2 linked regions of the Elephas maximus indicus genome follow. The protein of the gene in region 2 purifies or fractionates together with the protein of the main gene of each other region. This does not show direct contact. Links are inferred from orthologs where the notes say so. Each region holds a gene or a part of one and is shown on either strand. Other genes may lie near its edges.

Region 1 (10,336 bases), on a different chromosome or scaffold from region 2:
AAGAAAAACAGGGGCCCTCAATGAACCTCTTAACCCCACAACCCTGTATTTCTACAAGAGACCTGCTGAACCAGGGGTATGGGAGGAGCAACACAGGAACAATGAAGATTGGGATTGGAGAACAAGGTATATAACCTCTATGATGACAGGGTCTCTGGCTTGTTATGTTCACTGCCGTACTCCCAATCCTTAGAATGGTGCTCAATAAATATTTGTTGAATGAATGAATGAAAGCTCTAGGGGAGGGGGAAAAGAAAGATTCGTGGGGAAGGTCCCATAAACGCTCTGTACAGAGTTTAGTTTTGGAAACTGCTGGCTGAGACTTACTGGTCAGTCACGAAATCAATTCAGTGAGTTTGACAAACTTTTTTTTTTTCCCTTAAAGGAAGAGAACAAAATAGAAAATCTCAAAGTGTCTCTTAGTGGGGGGAAATAGTTTTATAAAACTTTTGTTTCAGATACACATCCAGGATTGTAATATAAAGTCTATTTCTTACCAGCAATTAAAAAAAAAAAGAATTGGAAAAAAGTTGACCTAGAGTATTAAAATGCAGATTCCCAGGCTCGAGCCAGGCTTTTTTGGATCAGAATTTCAGGAATTTTGCACTTTGAACCAGTTCCCTTGGGGATTCTGATAAGGTCTAAACTTAAGAGTTTAAAAAGCCTGAGAAACACTGTAAGGTTTGGAATTACAAGAAGTTTAACAGCCAGAGGAGAGATGATTAACAAGTTAGTTCAACAGCTTTATCACAACCATTATCTGTTTAAAGGGTGGGGCCAGGCATTAACGACCACCAATTACTGACCTCACTGCTGGGCCACTTCCTCCCCAATTCCTACTACGCATTCACCCCCAAGGGCCAATCAGACCTGTCCTGGCACAGGTTGGCCACACAGCTTTTATCTTCCAGTGTAAATAGATGAAGAGGATTTAGTCACCAGATGTGAACCTGGATTGGGGCCTGGAGGGACAGGAGGTTGAACCAGGACTTCGAACCGGTTTGTCCTGGTTCTCTGAATCCCCTGCTAAGAGTTTGCACTTTCACCCCAGATATACTGAATCTGAATCTACATTTTAACAAGATCTCCAGGAGATTCTTGTGTATAATAAATTTTGAGAACCACCACGTTACTAGTGGAAACCCTGGTGGTGTAGTGGTTAAGTGCTATGGCTACTGAAGGAAGGGTTGCGGTTCAAATCCACCAGGCATTCCTTGGAAACTGTATAGGGCAGTTCTACTCCGTCCTATAGAGTCGCTGTGAATTAGAATCCACTTGACAGCAACAGGTTTGGTTTTTGTTTTGTTTTGTTTTTGCTTTACTAGTGGTTCTCAGAACTGGCCCCTAACCAGCAGCATTAGCATTGCCCAGGAACTTGCTGGAAATGCAAGTTCTCAGCAGGCGTTCCAACCAGAACAGATTGGAAGCCCTAGGCTGAACACAGAACCAAGAAAAAACTACACAGCCCAGGGCCTCTGTCATCAGATATCTACATGAAGCAGGTGTGGCCTGTTCTACCCCAATCCTGGCAGAGCTATTAGCCACCTGTCCTGACAACTGCAAACAAATTCCTGGAATGATGATCCAACCACACTGGAGGCACTGCCCAGGTTCCAGAGGCCCACTGGGAATCCTCTACAGCAGCTGTCCCTCGTCCTACATCACTGAATCTACCCACATACACACCAATTAACCAATCCACATTGTGTGTAATTCCATACATGCACAAACATGTGTTATTAGTGTCTCTCTTGGTCTCTCTCAAGTAGTAACAAACATAAAGGTTCATTTTTTTTCTCTCTCACCTCAGACATGTTTTTAAAGTCAGGTTTAACAATTTAGCCTCATTTACTGGACCATTTCCAGATCTTTCTCTCCCTTCCAAGAGTAGTGATTTTGATGAACTTGGCCAGTACCAATGACTCTCGACATGGAGTATGACTGGTGTCTCTCCTTCCACATTCACACACAGACAGAGATAAAATAATCTCTGTTTTCTAAGTGAAGTGATGTGAGAAATAAATATGCCCAGTAAGACGCGTTACCTATACTAAAAAGATATGATTTATTGAGGACACTTCAACAAACCACTCTTGCTGCGAGGAAGAAGGAGGATCATCCACCTGAATGGGCATTACCATTGAAGCCCTTCTGCCTCTGGGAAGCTTCAAGTCACTTTGGCACAAATAAGCTCCTCCCTCTGGCCTCCTACAGTGCTCACTACCTACGCTACTTGTCTGCTGCTAGTGTATTATCCACCATGTATTACTGTAAACTTGTTATTTCTTATCGTCTTTTCTCCTCAACTTGACTTGCAAATTCCCAGAAGACAGCAATCACCTCTTAAACTTCTGACTTGTTTCCCACAGAGCCTTGCTTAAGAAATGTCATTTTTATTTATGCCTGTCTGTGTAGGAATGCGGAAGGACAGGCACCAATAACACTACGTCAAGAGCTATCAGTTCTTGGCAATTCAGCCAAAATCTGTTCATCTTAAAAGGAAGTGTCTTTCACATTTGGTTGGTCAAGCACCAAATGGCTAGTGCTCCATTTCAGACACTAAAAATACCAGTGACATTAAATTTGGAAAAATAAATAAATAATTTCAGTTAAGTCACTCTGGCTTCAGGGGATGGATCTGGGGAGGATAAGCTGGAGTTATGCATGTATTCCAATAGGCAAGAGATGATGAGAATTTGAGAAATACTTAGGAGACAAGAATGGAAGATGTAACGATTGATTGGATATTGGGGGATGGTAGGAATCTATGCTGACCCTTAGGTTTTTGGTTTGGGTGATTGAGCAGGCAGCAACTGAGACAGAAGCTACCAGGAGAAGCCCATCTGGAAGTAGGCCTGAGAGATAAGTCTCTTCCACTTAGTTTAATACACAAATACTTTAGCAACTTATTGACAAAATACCTAAAGTGATTAGTGCAAAAAGCTCACCCAGGGCTTTAAGAAAAAGGAATCCTGGAAGAAGACTACTGTTTATGCTGCCATTTATCTGTGAAACTAAGCTGGCTGGCTACTTCATGCCTTTCTTCAGGCAGATTCCCTTCTACAGAAAAGAGCAGAAAGGTATTGTCTCGGGTTAAGATTTTCAAGTCAATTATACACCAGATACCCAGAAAGATTCCTATAGACTTCAAAGACAATTACTTCCTCTATTCCTTCAAAAAATAACTTCAGAGCTGTTGTTAGGTGCTGTAGAGTTAGTTCTGACTCATAGTGACCCTATGTACAACAGAATGAAACACTGCTGGCTCCTGAGCCAGCCTCAAAATAGTTGCTGTGTTTGAACCCATTGTTGCAGCCACTGTTTCAATCCAATTTAAGAATTAGGCAACTTAACATAGGAAACCATCCTAAAGATCCCTGAACAAAGGCTGATGGACAAAACAGTGCAAACCATCCACCCCCTTATGTGACTGCCAGTTTTACCTGCATACCTTACCTGGAAAGTTCTCTCGATTTAGCTTGGGTCTGCGAACAATCACAAAGTCCTTGTCATTCCCCTTGCTTTTCAGCCGCTTTCGCGGGGGGCTCTGCGGGTGACTAAGGCTGGAGAGCAGTTCCTGGGGGATATTTTCACTGTCCACCTCCTCCTTCTCCAGGGCAGAGACTCCCATGCCTGAGAGCAGTTCTGAAGTCTTGCTAGAATCCCATCCCCACGTGAAACTGGTGGTAACGTTGCTACTTTGGTCCGGAATCTCCTGGAGGTGTTTCCTGCAGAAATGCACAACACTCCCTTTCTTTTCAAGAATAAAGCCAAAACCAAACCCATCCCCCGTCCAGCCTTTCGATTCATAGTCACCCTATAGGGCAGAGTAGAACTGCCCCACTGAGTTTCCAAGGCTGTAATCTTCAGGGAAGCAGACTTCCACATCTTTCTCTTTCGAAGCGGCTGGTGGGTTCGAAATGCAGACCTTTTGGTTAGCAGCCGAGCGCTTAACCATTTGAGCCACGAGGGCTCCAAGGTAGGCACAAAAGAAGCTGCAGTTTATGCGCTGTAGAAAACTTGAAACTTCCGCAGCAGTTAATAAAATTGCATTTGTAAGTGCCAGTGGCGAAATCCCAAGAAAAAAAAATAACCGAACAAATGGGAAAGGCTTTTGATTTACGATCACGCAGGCAGGCCTCAAGAATTTCTTACGGTGGAGGGAACAAGGAGGGAGGGAGGGCAGCCATCCAGTGATTTTGAAAACCCTGCAGGAAAGCCCTATAAGGGAAGCCAAATAAAACGTCTCGCTAATCACCTCACTAAAACATTTATCCACACTTTCCCAAAGAATGGGCTAAGCAACCATTCGCATAATCACAGCATTAGTAACAACAACAGCAAGTAGCAGTATTCACGGCCTAAAAGAATTAAGACGGTCCATGCACGCTCTGCCCCTTTTTGCAATCGGTTTACCTGTGCATGGCGTCCACCGATTCACAGGAGTTTTAAATACGTGCATTAATTGCGGAGCTGCTGCTTCGGGATTCCGGCTTTGGCGCGCGGCAGCTCCGAGCGCTCAGCGCTGGCCCCCAACAGTGAGACCCGCGAACTCTAGTAACGTTCCATCCCCGCCGCGCGCACAGGGCTCTTCTGCCCGCTCTCCTCTGCGGCAGAGGTCTGAGGCCCAGCTGCCTGCTGGGAATTGTAGTTCCTATGCTGTCCAGGAGTCAGGCTGGCTCGCCCTCTACTTCCTGAATCCTTCCCTTGAAGCTTCGCAGGCCTTTGAGATACCCACAACCCCCCGCGGCCCACAGGGGCGGGCAGGGAAGCGGAAGTGGGCGGTGCTCCGGCTGACTGGGAATGTCAGCTGCTTGAGTGAGAAAGGGTTTTCCTTTCCCGGGAACCTGCAGGCCTTCTGCTGACTGCTTCCGCCGTCATTTCAGAGCGGGGGTCCCAGAACCTGGACGGCTGTGGTCGACGCGGAGTTTCTTGGTCCCGTCCAGATTCTGTCTGGTGAGATCAGACGGTGAGCTTGAGGGAGGGGATGAGACACTTTGGGGTCTGGGGTCTGAGGTCCGGGGCGGAGCAGAGGAGGACACGGAGGGAACCCCGGAGATCCCGAACGGCTGCCGCCGCGGGGCCTGCGTCCCCGGCCACTGCATGGAGCCAGTAGCCCGGCCCGTCACCCAGGTGGGCGTCACACCTGCTCTGCCCTCTGCCAGGAAGCTCTTCCTGCACCGGGGAGAGGCGGCCCTTGGGCCCTTCAGGAAATGATTTCAGAATTAGACTGGGTCTGTGGGCAGGATCCTTTCCTTACCTGTGAAATAGGCACTACGACAACAACGCTCTTGTTACAGGCGTTGAATGAGGATCGAATCAGATAACGGTTGTGGAAGCGTTTTCTAAACTACAGCGCAGTTGGAATGAGAGAGGATGGTTGAATTTTAGGGGAACAAGAGACCACCTTGGTTCCTGTGTGCGGTGGGAAGGGTGCGCATCCCCTTGCAGCCTTGACAAATCTCCTAAATGCTAGTATGGGAATAAATATGGTTACTGTACTCGACGGCACTGGGTGGGTTGTGTATCTGCAAAGGGCTTTACCAGGGCTAAGCTCTGAGCCACCAGCAAAGCCATTCGGTTGCTCTCGGCCAACCGGCTGCATCCATTTGCGTCGCCACCTAGAACTGCTTTAGCCTATCTCTGCGGGAAACAGTTTGGGGGCGTTAGAGTAGGGAGTGTACCATATTCCAGGTAGGATGACCGTGCGAAATCCATTGTGCATTGCAAACTACTACAACGATGGCCCCGGGAAAACAGTGGAAGAGAGAAGAGGGATGAATTCCAACCGTAATAAAAATAATGAGGGTTTATAAAGTTTTTTTATAAAGTTTAGAATTATGCAGGGCAGTTTCATCCCCAAAGAATTAGTTCAGTGGGGAGAAAGAGTGGCTGTCTGTTCCCATAAAGATTACAGCCTTGGAAGCCCTATGGGGCAGTTTTACTCTGACCTATAGCTTTGAAGAGTCAGAATCCACTCGATGACAGTGGTTTTATGCTGTATGACATACCTTCATACTACTTTGAAAAAAATGATTAGATTCTTGAAAAGTAACCACTTCTTGACAGGAAGGAATTCATGAACCTTTATTTTGTTCTCGAAAGTAGGTGAGATTTCTATTAAGAGGGGATCTGTTCACAAATTGATTTTGATCAACACTAGGTGAAGAATACTAGGCTTAGTGTGCACAGTTCATTAAACTACTGTTAGATGATAATTTTTTTAAATGCAGTATTCCTGGTTTTTTGCACGGTAGTTACCTATCTTTACTTTGGCTAAGGAGAAAGCAGTTGCCTTCATTTGAGATATACATACTTTCCCTTAAGCTTGCAACTCATTACAGAAAATATTTCTAACAAAAAAAGTTATAGTCTCCAGGAAAGTGAACAAGACAGAGGGAACTGGTAACCTTGTGGGGAGAAAGGATAAAAAAATATTTAAAATGCCGTGGTGAGCACTGTCTTAGTTACTAGGGCTGCTGTAACAGAAGAACCGCAAGTGCATGGCTTTAAAGAACAGAAATTTATTTTCTCACAATTTAGGAGTCTAGAAATCTGAATTCAGGCACCAGCTATAACGGAAGGCTCTCTCTTTGTCAGCTGTAGGGGAAGATCCTTGTCTTTTTCAGTTTCTGTAGCCCTACCTGTTCCTTGGTCCCTTGACAATCTTCACATGGCACCTCTCTTCCCGTTTGTTTTTGCATGTCTTTATCTACCATTTTTTATAACTCTGGTAATGGGTATGGCTCAGTAACATAACATTAGATTGCATACAAAGGTGATTGCAGTACATTACATTACATCTACAGGTACAGGGGTTAGGATTCCACCACGTATTTTGGGGGGACACAATCCATAGCAAGCGTAACAAAGTTTTGAGATATAAAGTAATTGGAATAGGCCACTTTAGATACAAATCTCATAGATAAGAAGGTCTAGTAGATGGGAAGATACTAAATTTAAGGATAAGAAATATTCTTGTTCTGTCTGCTGTTTAGGGAGCATTTCTAGTTCTTAGAATACTGGCAGTATCTGAATTAATGGACATAAGGTCCATTAATTGGTAGGTAGCTAGTAATTGCAAGTCTTCAGCTGAAGGTCCAAGTCCTCTGCTACTGGAGTAGATATTTCACTAACAGTGTTTGCCCTGGTAAGAGAAATACTTCAGCTTGCTAATATGGAACTTTTTTTCTCATTCCTTCCATTCATGGCTGTAAATAAAAGTTTAAATAGATACATGTGATACTGTTTGATATAAGGAATTGTGTCCATTGAAGACTTGCAGTTACTGGCTACGTACAGACGTCTTGTTATTTGTTCTCTTAATTGCACTGTGATTGCTACTGATGTGGAATATTTTATTTTCCTGATTAATTTTGTTAGTTTAACCTTAGCACATCCCATTTCCCACTTTGGGGTACACCATATTTCCAGAACTAAAATCCCTTCCCTATGTTAGTATCCAGGACAAATGAATTACAGTCTCTTTTAACGTCTGCAAATGACTTAGGGCCCGTCATTTCTAGTACCCTTTGGAAGCTTCAGATAGACTCCAAAGTGACTGTGTAAACTGGGGAAGTGTTTATCACCGAGAGATGCTCAGAATGGGCAAGGGTGGTATTATCTGTTTAGAGGTAAAATTATAGGAGGGACCAAAAAGGACTGGAAATCATAAATGATTATAAGCTATTTATTACATGTGTGTGTATGTATACACATATATATGTATATATATCTTATAAGCATTGTTGTTAGGTGCCATGAGTCGGTTCTGACTCATAGTGATGCTATGTACAACAGAACGAAATACTGCCCAGGCCTGCAACATCTTCTCAATTGTTGCTCTGCTTGAGCCTATTTTTGCAGCCTCTGTCAAGACATCTCACTGAGGGTCTTCCTCTTTTTTGAGAACCCTCTGGTGGTATTTGAAATACCACTGGCATAGCTTCCAGCATCACAGCAACACGTAAGCCACCACAGTGCTACGAACCGACAGATGAGTGGTGGCTTATAGTCATAAATATAGTCATAGGTGTGTGTGTGTACATATATAAGTATATGTTATTTTCGAAAACCAAATATGACAAAAGAGATTCTATTTAATGAGAATGGTGATGAATTTTTTCCTTAGCTCCTTCACACCCACCAAACCCACTGCTGTCAAGTCGATTCCAACTGATAGAGATCCTATAAGACACAGTAGAACTGCCCCATAAGATTTCCAAGGCTGTAAATCTTTACAGAAGCAGACTGCCCCATCTTTCTCCTGCAGAGCGGCTGGTGGGTTCGAGCCACCGACCCTTTGGTTAGCAGCCAAGTGCTTTAGCCACTGCGTCACCAGGGCTCCTAGTTCCTTCATAGTATGAAATAAATTGTAAAATTCTTGAGTTTTTTTTCTCACATCATTTAGCTCGGGAACAAGAGCCTGAGAACAATTATGTGGCAAGAAGTTTGTATCTGCTAATAAAATTTGAGAAAGGATCTTTTTTCCTTGATTAATTCTACAGTAAATCTTTTGTTCTCTGCAGTTAAATGCTGTCAGTGATGGGCAGATGGTGGAAAGGTTCTGGCCCTGATTCTAATTTGCTCTATGTTTTCTTTTCTACTTTTCCCATACAGATTAGAATCACATATTACCCTTAAGTCAACTAATGGCAGTATTACTCTGAGGTAAAGAGGCTTAGCTAAGTTCTACATTGAACATTTTCTTCTTATACTGTGAACTATGTCTTGATAGGGATGATCAATAGGGGAATTTCTGATTGTTCACTATGGAGACTGAACAGAAGAAATTTATTTAAACAATTTAAATTGCATTAAGAAACTATGTCTGGACTGGAGAAGAGAAGATGTAGCTTTCTAACTGTGAGCCAGACTCTAGTTAGGATGCCTCAGTTTGAATCCCAGCTTTGCCATTTTAAAAAAAAAAAAAAAAAAATTTTTTTTTTTTTTTTTGTGGGAACTTGGGGAAACCCTGGTGGTGCAGTGGTTAAGTGCTACAGCTGCTAACCAAGAGGTCAGCAGTTCAAATCTGCCAGGCGCTCCTTGGAAACTCTGTGGGGCAGTTCTACTCTGTCCTATAGGGTCACTATGGGTCGGAATCAACTCGACGGCAGTGGGTTTGGGTTTGGTTTTGGTGGGAACTTGGATAAATTCCTTATCCTGTTTGTGCCCAATTTTCTCCTTTATTAAACAAGAATACTAACAGTCTTCTCTTTAGTATGATAAAGCTTGTTAAGTAGGAGCACAATATTTAGTAAGTGCACACTAAATGTTAGCTATTCTTTTTTAAAATTATTTTGTTATTAAGAGAAAGTGTAAGGATTATTTTCTAATTACCAAAACAAGTCTTGCATTATCTACCTGAGATCTTTAAGAATTCATTAAAATTTTACTTGCTTTCTTCTGACCTCTGTACATGGTTGCAACCCCTTCCCTTCATGCCTTGCCAAAGACAGAACAGTTTGTGTGTGTCCTTCTCCTAAACACTTGTCACACTTTGGAATTCGGTTCGACTAGTTGTTTTGCCACCTCAGCCTTTAGATGGGCTTCGAAACATATTACTTTCTCCCATTTTTAGACTGAGAGTGATGTTCTCTTATAATATTCTACATTCTAAAGTAAATTCTATCTACACGTGAAATCTTTCAGCAGGGAATGATGATTTCCTTGAGAAAATTTAAATTTTTATTGGTGGGAGACAATTGTTGACTTTTCTCACTTCTAGTTCTGATTCTTTTGATTTTTCATTATTATGATCTTGAGTTATCTCCTCATTTTTATTATTTTATATATCTGAGTAAAGGTACATATTGCAGTTGACACTCTCCGAGTCTGATGAATCATTAGGTTCTAGTTGAAATTTTTCATTCAGTTTCAGAATCTTTAGTTTTGGCAAAATTTTTGTCAGTTTTTTGTTTATGTTCTGATCCATTGCATTCCTCCTTCCTTTCCTCCCATTCCTTCCTTTCTCTCGCTTTTTCTCCTTTTTTTGTAAATATTTGGAATGCTTCAAATTTCAAAATTATCTTAACTTCTAAATTTTCCACTCAGAGTGTGTTTAGCCTAAAGAAACAATGCTAGAGTCATAAAGGACTCAGGAAACAGTATTCTAAGTTAGTAACATTAGTAATTCAATTATGAAACTATTGTAAAGACACCTGAAAGTAGTGTTGAATAATGTCTTGATTAGAAAAAGACTGAATTAGATTTTTAATGTTTAAGACTATTTCAGAGCTAGTATATTGAAAGGTTGAATATGACATCAAAGCAGGCACAAATTTTGAATGGATGAATGAATTAGCATTTTGATTTTGAGTAAAATCAACCCTTGTTT
Region 2 (10,551 bases):
ACGGTCGTTGCCGTTTCAGATGGGGTGGCCAGGGAAGACCCTCTGGAGAGGAGAGGTTTGGCAGGGTCTGAAGGAGGTGAGAGAGTGATGCGGATACGGGGCAGGGCGTGGAGCATCCCAGGCAGAGGGAACAGCGTGGGCAAGGGCCCTGGAGTTGGATTGTGCCAGGTGTCTTAGAGATCAGGCAAGGAGGCCATGTGGATGGAATAGAGGGACAGAAAGGCCAGAAAGAAAAGAGGCCAGATAGGGTGGGCCTTTCCAAGGGCATCAAGGACATGCCTGGAGCTGGGCAGCTGCTGGAGGGTTTGGGGCAGAGGAGCGGTATGACCTGACTTATGTTTGAAAAGGATTGCTCATGCTGTGTGTAGGGGAAGAGAGCAAAATTGGAGCAGAAGATCAGTCATGAATCTTGCAAATTCCAGGTCAGACATAACAGGGGTTTGGAGCAGAATGGCAACAAGAAAGGATGGGACGTAAAGAGGCTCTAGGTGCTCTGAAAGATAGAACCAGCAGTATTTTCTCAGCAGGTTAGATGTGGGATGGGAGAGAAAGAAGAGTTAGGGATGACCAAGGCTTTGGGGCTGAACAACAGGAAGGATGAATACTCCGTTTACTGAGATGAGGAAGACTTTGGGAAGAGCAGGTTGGGGGTAGGGAAGAGATGGGTAGTTTGTTTTGCACAGATTTGAGACATCTGTTCCATGAACCATGTGGAAATATCAAGTAGCCCGCTGAGTATGTGAGTCTGCGATACAGCTAAGAGGTCTGGGCTGGAGATCAAACTCTGACAGTCGTCCACAGGTGTTGTTAGCTGCCGTCAGGTAGCAACGCAGCCTGGTCCTGTGCTACCCCTGATCAGACCGTTGTGATCCACAGGGTTTTCACTGACTGATTTCTGGAAGTAGATCACGAGGCCTTTCTTCCTACTCTCTTAATCTGGGAGCTCTGCTGAAAACTGTTCGGCATCATAGCAACACTCAAGTCTCCAAGGACAGATGGTGGCTGTGCATGAGGTACACTGGCTGAGAACTGAACCTGGGTCTCCTGCACAGAAGGTGAGAATTCTACCCCTGAGCTCCAACTCATGGCGACCCCATGCACAACAGGACCGGACCCTTGTGGTCCATGGGTTTTCACTGGCTGCTTTTCAGAAGTAGATCTCCAGGCCTTTCTTCCTACTCTCTTAGTCTGGAAGGCCCACGGAAGCCTGTTCAGCATCAGAGCAACACACAAGCCTCTGCTGACAGACGGGTGTGGCTCCACTTGAAGTGCACTGGCCGGGAACAGAACCCGGGTCTCCCTCGTGGGAGGCTGTACCCCTGAGCCACCACGGCCTTCCCACACCCACCAAATGGCGTCTAACCCAGAAGACTTCAAGAGATCATTAGGGAGTGAATTCAAATTCAGGGGGCCAAAGACATGGCCCTGAGGCACCCTAGCCTTTAGAGACTGGGGAAATAAGGAGGAACTGGGAGACTAAGGAGGAGCCCTGATGGTTCAACAGTTCAGCGCTTGACTATTCACCCACCTAGTGGCGCCATGGGAGAAAGACCTGGCGATCTGCTCCCATAAAGACGGTGCAGCTCTCCTGCGTCCTACAGGTCACTATGAGTCGGAACCGACTCACGGCAACGGGTTTGTTTGAACATGGGATGAAATTGACAAGAGCAACTCAAAGGATTAGACAGGAAGCTTAGGGGGCAGTGAGTTTATGTTAATGGGGGAGGAGCAATTAGGGAAAGGGGGGTGAGAATGATCGCACAACCTGAAGAATGCAATCGAGGTCACTGAATTATACATGTGGAAACTGTTGGTGTATCTTCTGCTTTGTATATTTTCAACAACAAAAAAAATTATTTTTAAAAAAGACAGAAGGTATAAATTTCTAAGAAATCTAAATAAATTTCTAAGAAAGCTGTGGAGGAATGGAGTACACATAAGGGGTTGTTGTTGTTAGGTGCCATCAAGTCGGTTCCGACTCATAGCGACCCTATGCACAACAGAACGAAACACTGCCCGGTCCCGCGCCATCCTTACAATTGTTGTTATGCTTGAGCGCATTCATAAGGGGTTAAAAAAAACCGTGAAGGGTTATGAATTTAATGTGATACCAGTCAGCACAGGAATCGCTGCCGACTCCTGAGTTTAAAGCAGTCAATCTTGCTACATAAACTGTTACAGCCACTTTCGTTTTCTCCAAAAGTTTTGACCAGGTCACTCTGGCTATACCCTCTCCTCTCTCCCCCCAAATACCCCCAGAAAGCAGGCGGCTGCGCGAGTCAGTAGGCAGACTTCAGACTAGCCTCTGCCAAAACTTCTTTTTGTTTGTTTTGGCCTTTCTTAAACCTCTCAAGTTTTCTCATCTATAAAATGGGATTGACACAATGGCCAAAACAATGAATTCAAACATAGCAACAATGATCATGAAGGTGGCGCAGGACTGGGAGACACTTTGATGTTATACATCAGGTCACTGTGAGTCAGAGCTGACTGAACAGCAACTAACAACAAACAAAACAAAACACGGGTACCCTGCCGCACTTACTTCACTGGCCCATTTTGAGCCTCGGTCCTTTAAAGACAGGCAATGCAGGTTTAAGGCATCACCATGAAAGGGTGCATCTCATAGCAAGCTTGGGAAAGCTTTCCATCTCAAAATCCTTCCTAAGGATCCAAACTCCACATTTGCGTTTAAGCGTCTGAATCTGTCTTCAGTCGGTTAAGGGAAGCACCTCTGACCAACTGAGCACATACAGCTTCTCTCAGAGGGCCCAGTACCTGTCTGCCCAGTGTTGGGGAGATGCCTGCTTTCCAAGCACCCTTTCTGAATTGATCTAGTCAAGCCGGATTCCATCCTGATTCCAGAGCTTCTAACAAGTTTCCAGGAAGTTATACGTAAGAATCGCCTGGGGACCTAGTTAAAATGGAGATTGTGATTCAGTATATCTGGGGTGAAAATGCAAATTCTCAGCAGGAGTTCGAACCAGAATGAGACAGTTTGAAGGGCTGTCTGACTCTAACACTATCCGGGTAAACATAACAAAGGCTGTCTGGGATCACTCAAGCCTTTCTTACATCAGTCTGACTACCACTCAGACCTTGGTTAAACTCAACTGTTAAGCTAAGCTGCTATCCCTAAAGGTTGGTGGTTCAAATCTACCCAGTGGCTCCTTGGGAGAAGCACCTGATGATCCGCTCCTATAAAGATTACAGCCTAGAGAACCCTATGGGGAAGTTCTGCCCTGTCACATGGGTCACTATGAGTCGAAATCCACTTGATGACACCCAACAACAACATGGGGCATTTGTGTTTCCTTTTAGCCTGTTGTTGGGTGCCATTGAGTCAATTTTGATCCGTAACGACCCTATAGGACAGTATGGAACTGCCCCATAGGATTCTCCAGGTGGTAATCTTTACCAGAGCAGACCACCAGATGGCCAGGTCTTTCTCCCACATAGCTGATGGGTGGGTTCTAACCTCCGACCTATCCTTTAGCAGCAGAGCTCTTAACCATTGCACCACCAAGCTCCTACTTTTAGCCTAGCACCCAAATAAGTTTACATATACTTAATCCAAACAGTTTCTGAATTTATTTTCTTGATATTGGGAAAAATAACAACGAAAATTATTCAATTTCTATCGGAAAAGGGGATCTATCAAGATGCTCTTAAAAAATCCAGGTTCCAGTGTTGGAACCCTCAAGGGCAGTTTGTGGGTAAAACGGCAACCGTAAAGCTCCCCCTACATAGTAGGAGAGGAGACCCCAACAAGTGGCGCTCCGGGCCTCCGAGTCCTCCTTACCTGGCCGCAGGCCCTCCTGTACTGCCCATTCTCGGTAAGCACCCCCAGCACGGTCCTCTGGGGGGGTTCCTGGCCCAGCTGGGCTCTGCCGATCATCTGACAGGCATCATGGACCCCAGCCGCAGGGGCCAGGACAACGCCGCTCTTAGAGCTGCTTCGCCGCATGGCCTCGGTCTCCACCTGCTGCTGCGATGGGGAGCGAGGGACAGACAAGCAGGTTAGCCAAGCCCTCCGCCCTGGGCTCCCCGGGTGCTGCACCAGAACACGGTTTTCCCAGACACTATATTGTAATCTGTTCCCCTAAAGATCACAGCCTAGAAAACCCTTGAGGCACTTCTGCTCTGCCCTATAGGGTCGCTATGAGGTGGAATCCACTCGACGGCACCCGACAATATTAGGGCTGAAAAGGAGCGAGTGACTGCGCAAGGGACCAAAACGATGACTTCAATTCTGTGGTTTTCTTGCCAGTCTCCGTTGAGGACTGGAAGGAGAGCGACAAACCTTCAAGCCAGGATGCTAGGCTCCAACGGATTGGGGGTCTAAACCTACAAGCCCACGGTCTGTCCCCGCTCGGATGCTCTTCTCCCCCGCCCCAGACAAAAGACCCAGGACACCTGAGCGGGAAGGTGTTGTCTCCTCCCGCGGCCCCTCCCAGCACACAGAGGCCCCGCACCTGCTTGGAACCCAGGGGCCCGCTCCGCTCGGCGCTGGCTCTCTCGCACACCTGCCGAGCGCACCGAGGCCGGGCGGAGGCGGCGGGCGCCCAGGGGGTCATCGACCCGGCACCCGGCGGGCACTGGGCGCCCAGCCTCGCGTCTGTTGGGGCGGCCAATGGGCGGCGTCCCGGGCCTTGCGCGGCCGCTTCCATGCCAACCGCAGCGGCACGCGCCCGGGCCGCGTCGCCATGGCGACCCCTCACCTGGCGACCCTCTCACCTGGCGCCTCCCGGAGGCCCTGCCGCTGCGGGGCAGTCAGGACCCAGCGGCCCCCGGCCTCCTGCGTCGCCCCGCTTCCCTCCTAGCCGGCGCCCTGGCCGGGGAGGGAGGCAGGCTGCCCCCCGCGACCACCGGGCCGAAGGGACCGCTTCCGAGAGCCGGTTCCCCTAACAGCCGCTAACCCCCCGCTAACGTCTGTGCGCGGCCCGCCCCCGAGAACCCCACGGCCGGCCCGAGAGTCGGGGTGCGCGCTGGCTCGCTCCGCTCACACACCTGCGCGTCCTCCGGAGTGGCCGGCCCGAGTCCGCGGAGGCACCTGCGGGCATCGGGGGGGTCTGCGCCCCAGAGGCAAGCCCCGAGCCCGGAGCATGGGGCCCGGCGGACGGCGGAGCTGTGGGATTGGGAGCGCACGCAGGGCCCGAGGCCCCTGAGAGGGCTTCCCAGGAGGACAGCGGTGCGGGGACACCCAGAGAGCGACCCGGGAAGAGGAAGGATCACGGGAGCAATAAGAGGCCTGGGACGTTGAGGGGACACTGGGAGGTCCGGGACTGGGGGCTGGGCAGTGGCCTGGCCACGAGGGAGGACAGTCCCTGGACCTGGAGGTCACTGGCCAGGAGGGAAGGATGGGGTCAGGATGGGGTGGGGACGGGCGTTGGCCAATTGGGAAGGGAGGACAAGGTCAGTGAATCCTGGGCACCAGAGGCGGTGACTGACAGGTCAAGTAAAAAAGTCTGTAACTTTCTTATTTTAAAAAAAAATCATGGCAAACTCCATGTTTGCGGTGGAGTTGATTCCAACTCATAGCAACCCGATGTGATACAGTAGAACTGCTCCACAGGGTTTCTTAGGCCGCGATGTTTATCTGTTACTCAGGTTTTAAGAGCAAGAGTGTTTTGTTGTTAAAATGCAAAACCTGGAAGGAAAAAAAAAAAAAAAACAAACTTGTTGCCATTCAGTGGTTTCCAATTCGTACTGACCCCATAGGTCAGAAGAATTCCCTTATTGGGTTTCCAAAGTTGTAATCTTTACAGAAGCAGATTGCTGCATCTTTCTTCCTTGGAGTGGCTGGTGGGTTTGAACCCACGACCTCTAGGTTAGCAGCAGAGCACTTAACCACTGTGCCACCAAACCAAACCAAACCCGTTGCCATCAAGTCTTTTCCAACTCATAGTGACCGTACAGAACAGAGTAGAACTGCATCCTAGGGTTTCCGAGGAGAGGCTGGTGGATTTGAACTGCTAACCTTTTGGTTAGCAGCCTGAGCTTTTAACCACTGCACCACCAAGGCTTTTAAATATACAAAACACCAGTTCCTAAATCTCTAAAGCTTTCCCAAGAGCCATCCAAATGGTCAAGGACCTGTTGGTTATTGCAGTCTTCCTTATTTTGAAAGGAAATGATTGTTAATCTCACCCCAAAACATATCTAAGTGCCCTTTTTTTCCCTCAGTGAGCTGGGTGTGCATTGTTTTAACGGGAAAATACAAGTATTCTACAGAAAGAGTGGATGAAACCCATGTGGGTGAGTCAGATGTGAGGGGAAGTTGGAAAGCATCTCAGGAAGCACCGAAAATGGCCTTGTTGAATGTGAAATTAATCTTGCTGTGCTTACCAAGGAGCCCGGTGGCACAGTGGTTAAGAGCTCAGCTGCTAACCAAAAGGTCAGCTGCTTGAAGGCACCAGGCACTCCTTGGAAACTCTGTGGGGCAGTTCTACCCTGTCCTATAGGGTCACTATGACCTGGAATCGACTTGATGGCAATGGGTTTGGTTTGGGTTTGGGATGCTTACCAAGGAGCCCTGGTGGCACAGTGGTTAAAGCACTCAGCTGCTAACCATAAGGTGGGCAGTTGGAACCCACCAGCCCCTCTGCTTGGAGGAAGAGGGGGAATGTATTATTCAGTATGCTCCTCCTTTGAGCCCTGGTGGTGCAGTGGTTAAGTGCTCGGTTGCTAACCAAAAGCTAAGTGTTTCAAACCCACCAGCCGCTCTGTGGGAGAAACATGAGGCAGTTTGCTTCCATAAAAATCTACAGCCTCAGAAACCCTATAGAATAGTTCTACTCTGTCCTATAAGGTCACTATGAGTCTGTGGGTTTGCTTACCATGGGCTCTCGTTGGCAGGAAACAGTAACCCTTTGCACCTCTGAATTTTTGTGCCTTCGACTAGGATGCTGAGGGGACCTGAAGGCTCGGCTTTGCAAGGGGTTCTATCTGGTGGAAAATGGGAATATTTCTGTCCTGTCACCTCTCTCTGCTTTTGGACATCTTCCCAGAAGCCCTCCCCCACATGGCAACACTGTTGTGATTTCTGGGGACGGATGCTGAGGCCTCGGTAGTTAACTCCCTAGGGTCCTGGGAGCAATTTGTTCCAAAGACCGGGGTCACCTTGCCAGAAACAAGATTTGCTCTGTTTCATGCGCCCTGACCTGTGACATCCCTTTTGATCTGATTTCCTGGGACAAAAATCGCCTAAAACTCACCACTTTTGCCTTTCCTCTAAACAAAGAAGCCAGCACGGTGTTTGTTCCGGGAGCCTCATTTGGATTCTATTTTCTGGGGCCGGAGCTCCAGCGGCTGGGGGGAGAGGGGCACCAGGCTTCTGTGGAGGGAGCTCTGGGGGGTCAGAGCTCCAGCAAGAGGGGAGCACCAGGCTTCTGTGGAGGCAGCTTTTTGAAGCTGGGTGTTCCCCACTCCAACCATGGCCAGGACCAGAAAGGGGAGGCCACAAAGTCGTCCTCCAGAGCCTCTAGCCTGAAAAATGCCTTCAAAAAAGTAAAATACCTGCTAACCAGGTGGGACCCTCTAGTTAGTTCATACCCTCTCATTTCAATAGCTGCATCCTAATCCAGTTGTTTTGGGGTGACATTGAGTCAGTTTCGACTCATATGGACCCCATATGACAGAGTAGAACTGCCCCATAGGGGTTTCTAGGCTGTAATCTTTTCCATGCTAGGAGCCCTGGTTGCACAGTGGTTAAAGCACTCGGCTGCTAACCAAAAGGTCGGCAGTTGGAACCCACCAGCTGCTCTGCAGGAGAAAGATGTGGTGGTCTGCTCCCGTAAAGATTGCAGCCTTGAAAACCCTATGCAGCAGTTCTACTCTGTCACTTGGGGTCACTGTGAGTTGGAATCGACTTGAAAACCAGTGCAGAAGGGAGAAAATAGCGCCACCTGGAGATGGCCAAGGAAAGCCCAGAGGAAACCCGAGAAGCTGAGAGGAGCGTTTTCCCCAGAGCGGACAGAGAGCATTCCCCTAGGTTGACTCCCTGAATCGGGACTGTGAGAAAATACATTTCTGCTCGCTAAACCACCCACTTGTCGCATTGCTGTTAAAGCAGCACTAAGAAGCTACATCGGCTGTATCCGAAAGTCAAGCCTTAAGATCCGTAGTGTTTAGTAAAGGTGAAACTGGGGAAGCTTCTTGTCTAGGCTTCGCAGACATTGGTTGAGAAGGGTTCACACAGAAATGTAGGTAGTGCAATCGAAGCACTGAATTTTTAATTAAATGTATGTAGTCACATGTAGCTGAGGGCTATCTCATTGGTGAGCACAGGATCCTGTCAAATAACCAAATCCAGATGTTATCAGAAAGAGGCTGTAGTCCAAAAAAGGAGAAAGGGAAAGGGGCTATTACAGTAGGGGGAGGAGCCTATTGTAATATATAAGATCAGTAAAGGTCTCACAAGTTAGGAAAAAGTGTTGTTTTTTTTGTGTGTGTAGACTGAGGGTAAATCAGGCTAGAAAAAGCCCAGGTGTGGAGAAGTGGGGTGAGTAGGTGACTTTGTCAAATAGTAAATCAGAAAGGTTTAGGCCAAGGTCAGCCTATTCTCCAGGAGGCCCTTTAGAGAGAGGTGCCATGCTCAGGTTTGCCATCAGAACCTCCTGAGTTTTTTGCAGGGTAGTCACATCACAGCACACAAATAAGACCCAAAACATTCCTGTAGGCCTGGAGAATCAGGGTAGGGTAAACGTAACCCACTAATGAAAGCCCATATCTTCAGCCTTCACGCATTGACCTTGAACAGATAGTTGCTGGAGGCAGCTCAGGTCCTTCGTGGCTGGGGTCTGAGGGTGGCAACTGCAGGCAGCGTCCCTGGCGGGGCCTCAGGCAGAGTGCTAGCTTCAGAGAGGTTCAGAGATTGACAGAGTCCTCCCGCCTTAGACCAGCTCCCAGGGAAGAGCAAGACAGGTTTTTATGGTTTAGTCCCTCTATCTTGTGTAACCAAGGTCCTATCAGGGGTGCTGGCTCACACTGTGTCAGGGTAATCCCCATCTTAGCTCATAACTGGGTACGCATTCTACAAGGCCAGCAGCTACACTAAGGGCCACACCAGCTCACGGCCAAGCAGCTGCCAATAGTAAGGTAGCCGATTACAACTGGAAGTTGTGCACAACGGAGAAGTTGCATGTCGGTTTCAGGTAGCTTACAGCCTGGCTTAAGTGTTCCAGTCACACGTTCCGCGCTTCACACACATGTGACGTGGAAACCCTACATTATAAGCATGTATCACAGAGTGGCGTGTTAGCGCAGGCTGAGGAGCAGGGCAAAGTTCAGGGACTTTAGGAAGGAGAGAAGCTTCACCAAAGTCTGACGAACAATCACTTGGTTTCTGATTGACCGCTGAGGTCAAGCAGCTCAGTGACTCATTTATGAGACAAGAACCAGGAATGTGGAGAGGCTGTGGCCAGTCTTGTCCTAGGTGAACAGGGTGTCTGTGAGCCTTAGCTAAGTCACGTGGGAAGGGTGGCTCTTTGCAATGAGCCATTCTGAACGCAAAGGTGGGGGAGTTCCTTTAACCATTGCTGTTTTCCAGGATCTGTACAGTGTCCAGGTGAAAGTCAGCAGGGTCAGTAGAACAGTGGTGGTGGAGAGCAGTCACAGCATACGGTCATCTCTTCTGCTGCCGCGTCTGCAGGTGTGTATGCTCATCATGACTAGCTTCCTCCTGAGTGGCTCTCCTAACTCGCAATTAAGTGCACCAATAAATAATGACAGGAAACCGTCTATCCAGGGTGGGTTCACCATGCAATTCATAAGAAAACCTGTTTATAAATGAGCCAGAAGGAAGTTTATCTGGGAATTGTACTTTCCTTGTTAAAAAGAAATGCTCCGAGGTGTCCATCAACAGATGAATGGGTAAACAAGGTGTGGTATATATACACAATGGGGTATCATTCAGCCATGAAGAGGAGTGAAGTTCTAACCCACAATACAGCGTGGAAGAACCTTGAAAACATGATGCTGAGTGAAATAAGCCAGACATAGAGGACAAACACTGTATGATCCCACTTACATGAAGCACCTACAGCAGACAAATGAACAAAACTTATGAGTGGTTACCAGGGGCTGCAGGGAGGAGGGAACGGGGAGTTATTACAAAAGGGAGCTGAGTTTCTGGGGTGATGTAGAGCTTTTTGAAATGGATAGTGGTGAAGGAGCCACAACATGGTGAGTGTAACTGATGTCGCTGAAGTCTACATTACAAGTGGTTCAGACAGAGACCTTTTTGCTGTGTATATGTTACACAGGATGCCTATGAGTCAGAACTAACTCACCTGCACATAACAGCAACAATATATATTTCACAACAATGAGAATTTTCTGAAAAATAGAAATGCTCATTCTTTTCCAGGGTCAGACAAGAGTTCAGAGGAAGAATCAGAACAGCTGAAAGATCAAGTTAGATTCTTGTGAAATTAACTAAACTTTTATCACTTAATTTTATAGATACAATTCTTTAGTTAGAGTTGCTGAATCCTGGGTTTATATGATAGTTCATATAAAGTACAGCTTAAGCTTCGTTTCTGTTAATAC

Evidence for each region. The genes of interacting proteins can lie anywhere in the genome.
Region 1: the proteins of CCNA1 (region 2) and SKP2 purify together in Homo sapiens (affinity purification with western blotting; 4 studies listed by BioGRID). This does not show direct contact. The link is inferred for Elephas maximus indicus from reciprocal best matches to the Homo sapiens genes CCNA1 and SKP2.

What each region holds. Positions count from the first base shown.
Region 1 is NC_064820.1:41,307,363-41,317,698, reverse strand, and holds the start of SKP2 (S-phase kinase-associated protein 2), read right to left. Parts: upstream 4,715-10,336; 5' UTR 4,425-4,714; coding exon 4,417-4,424; intron 3,729-4,416; coding exon 3,457-3,728; intron 1-3,456. UniProt on the Homo sapiens protein: Substrate recognition component of a SCF (SKP1-CUL1-F-box protein) E3 ubiquitin-protein ligase complex which mediates the ubiquitination and subsequent proteasomal degradation of target proteins involved in cell cycle progression, signal transduction and transcription.
Region 2 is NC_064832.1:99,588,402-99,598,952, reverse strand, and holds the start of CCNA1 (cyclin-A1), read right to left. Parts: upstream 4,617-10,551; 5' UTR 4,578-4,616; coding exon 4,476-4,577; intron 3,989-4,475; coding exon 3,803-3,988; intron 1-3,802. UniProt on the Homo sapiens protein: May be involved in the control of the cell cycle at the G1/S (start) and G2/M (mitosis) transitions. May primarily function in the control of the germline meiotic cell cycle and additionally in the control of mitotic cell cycle in some somatic cells.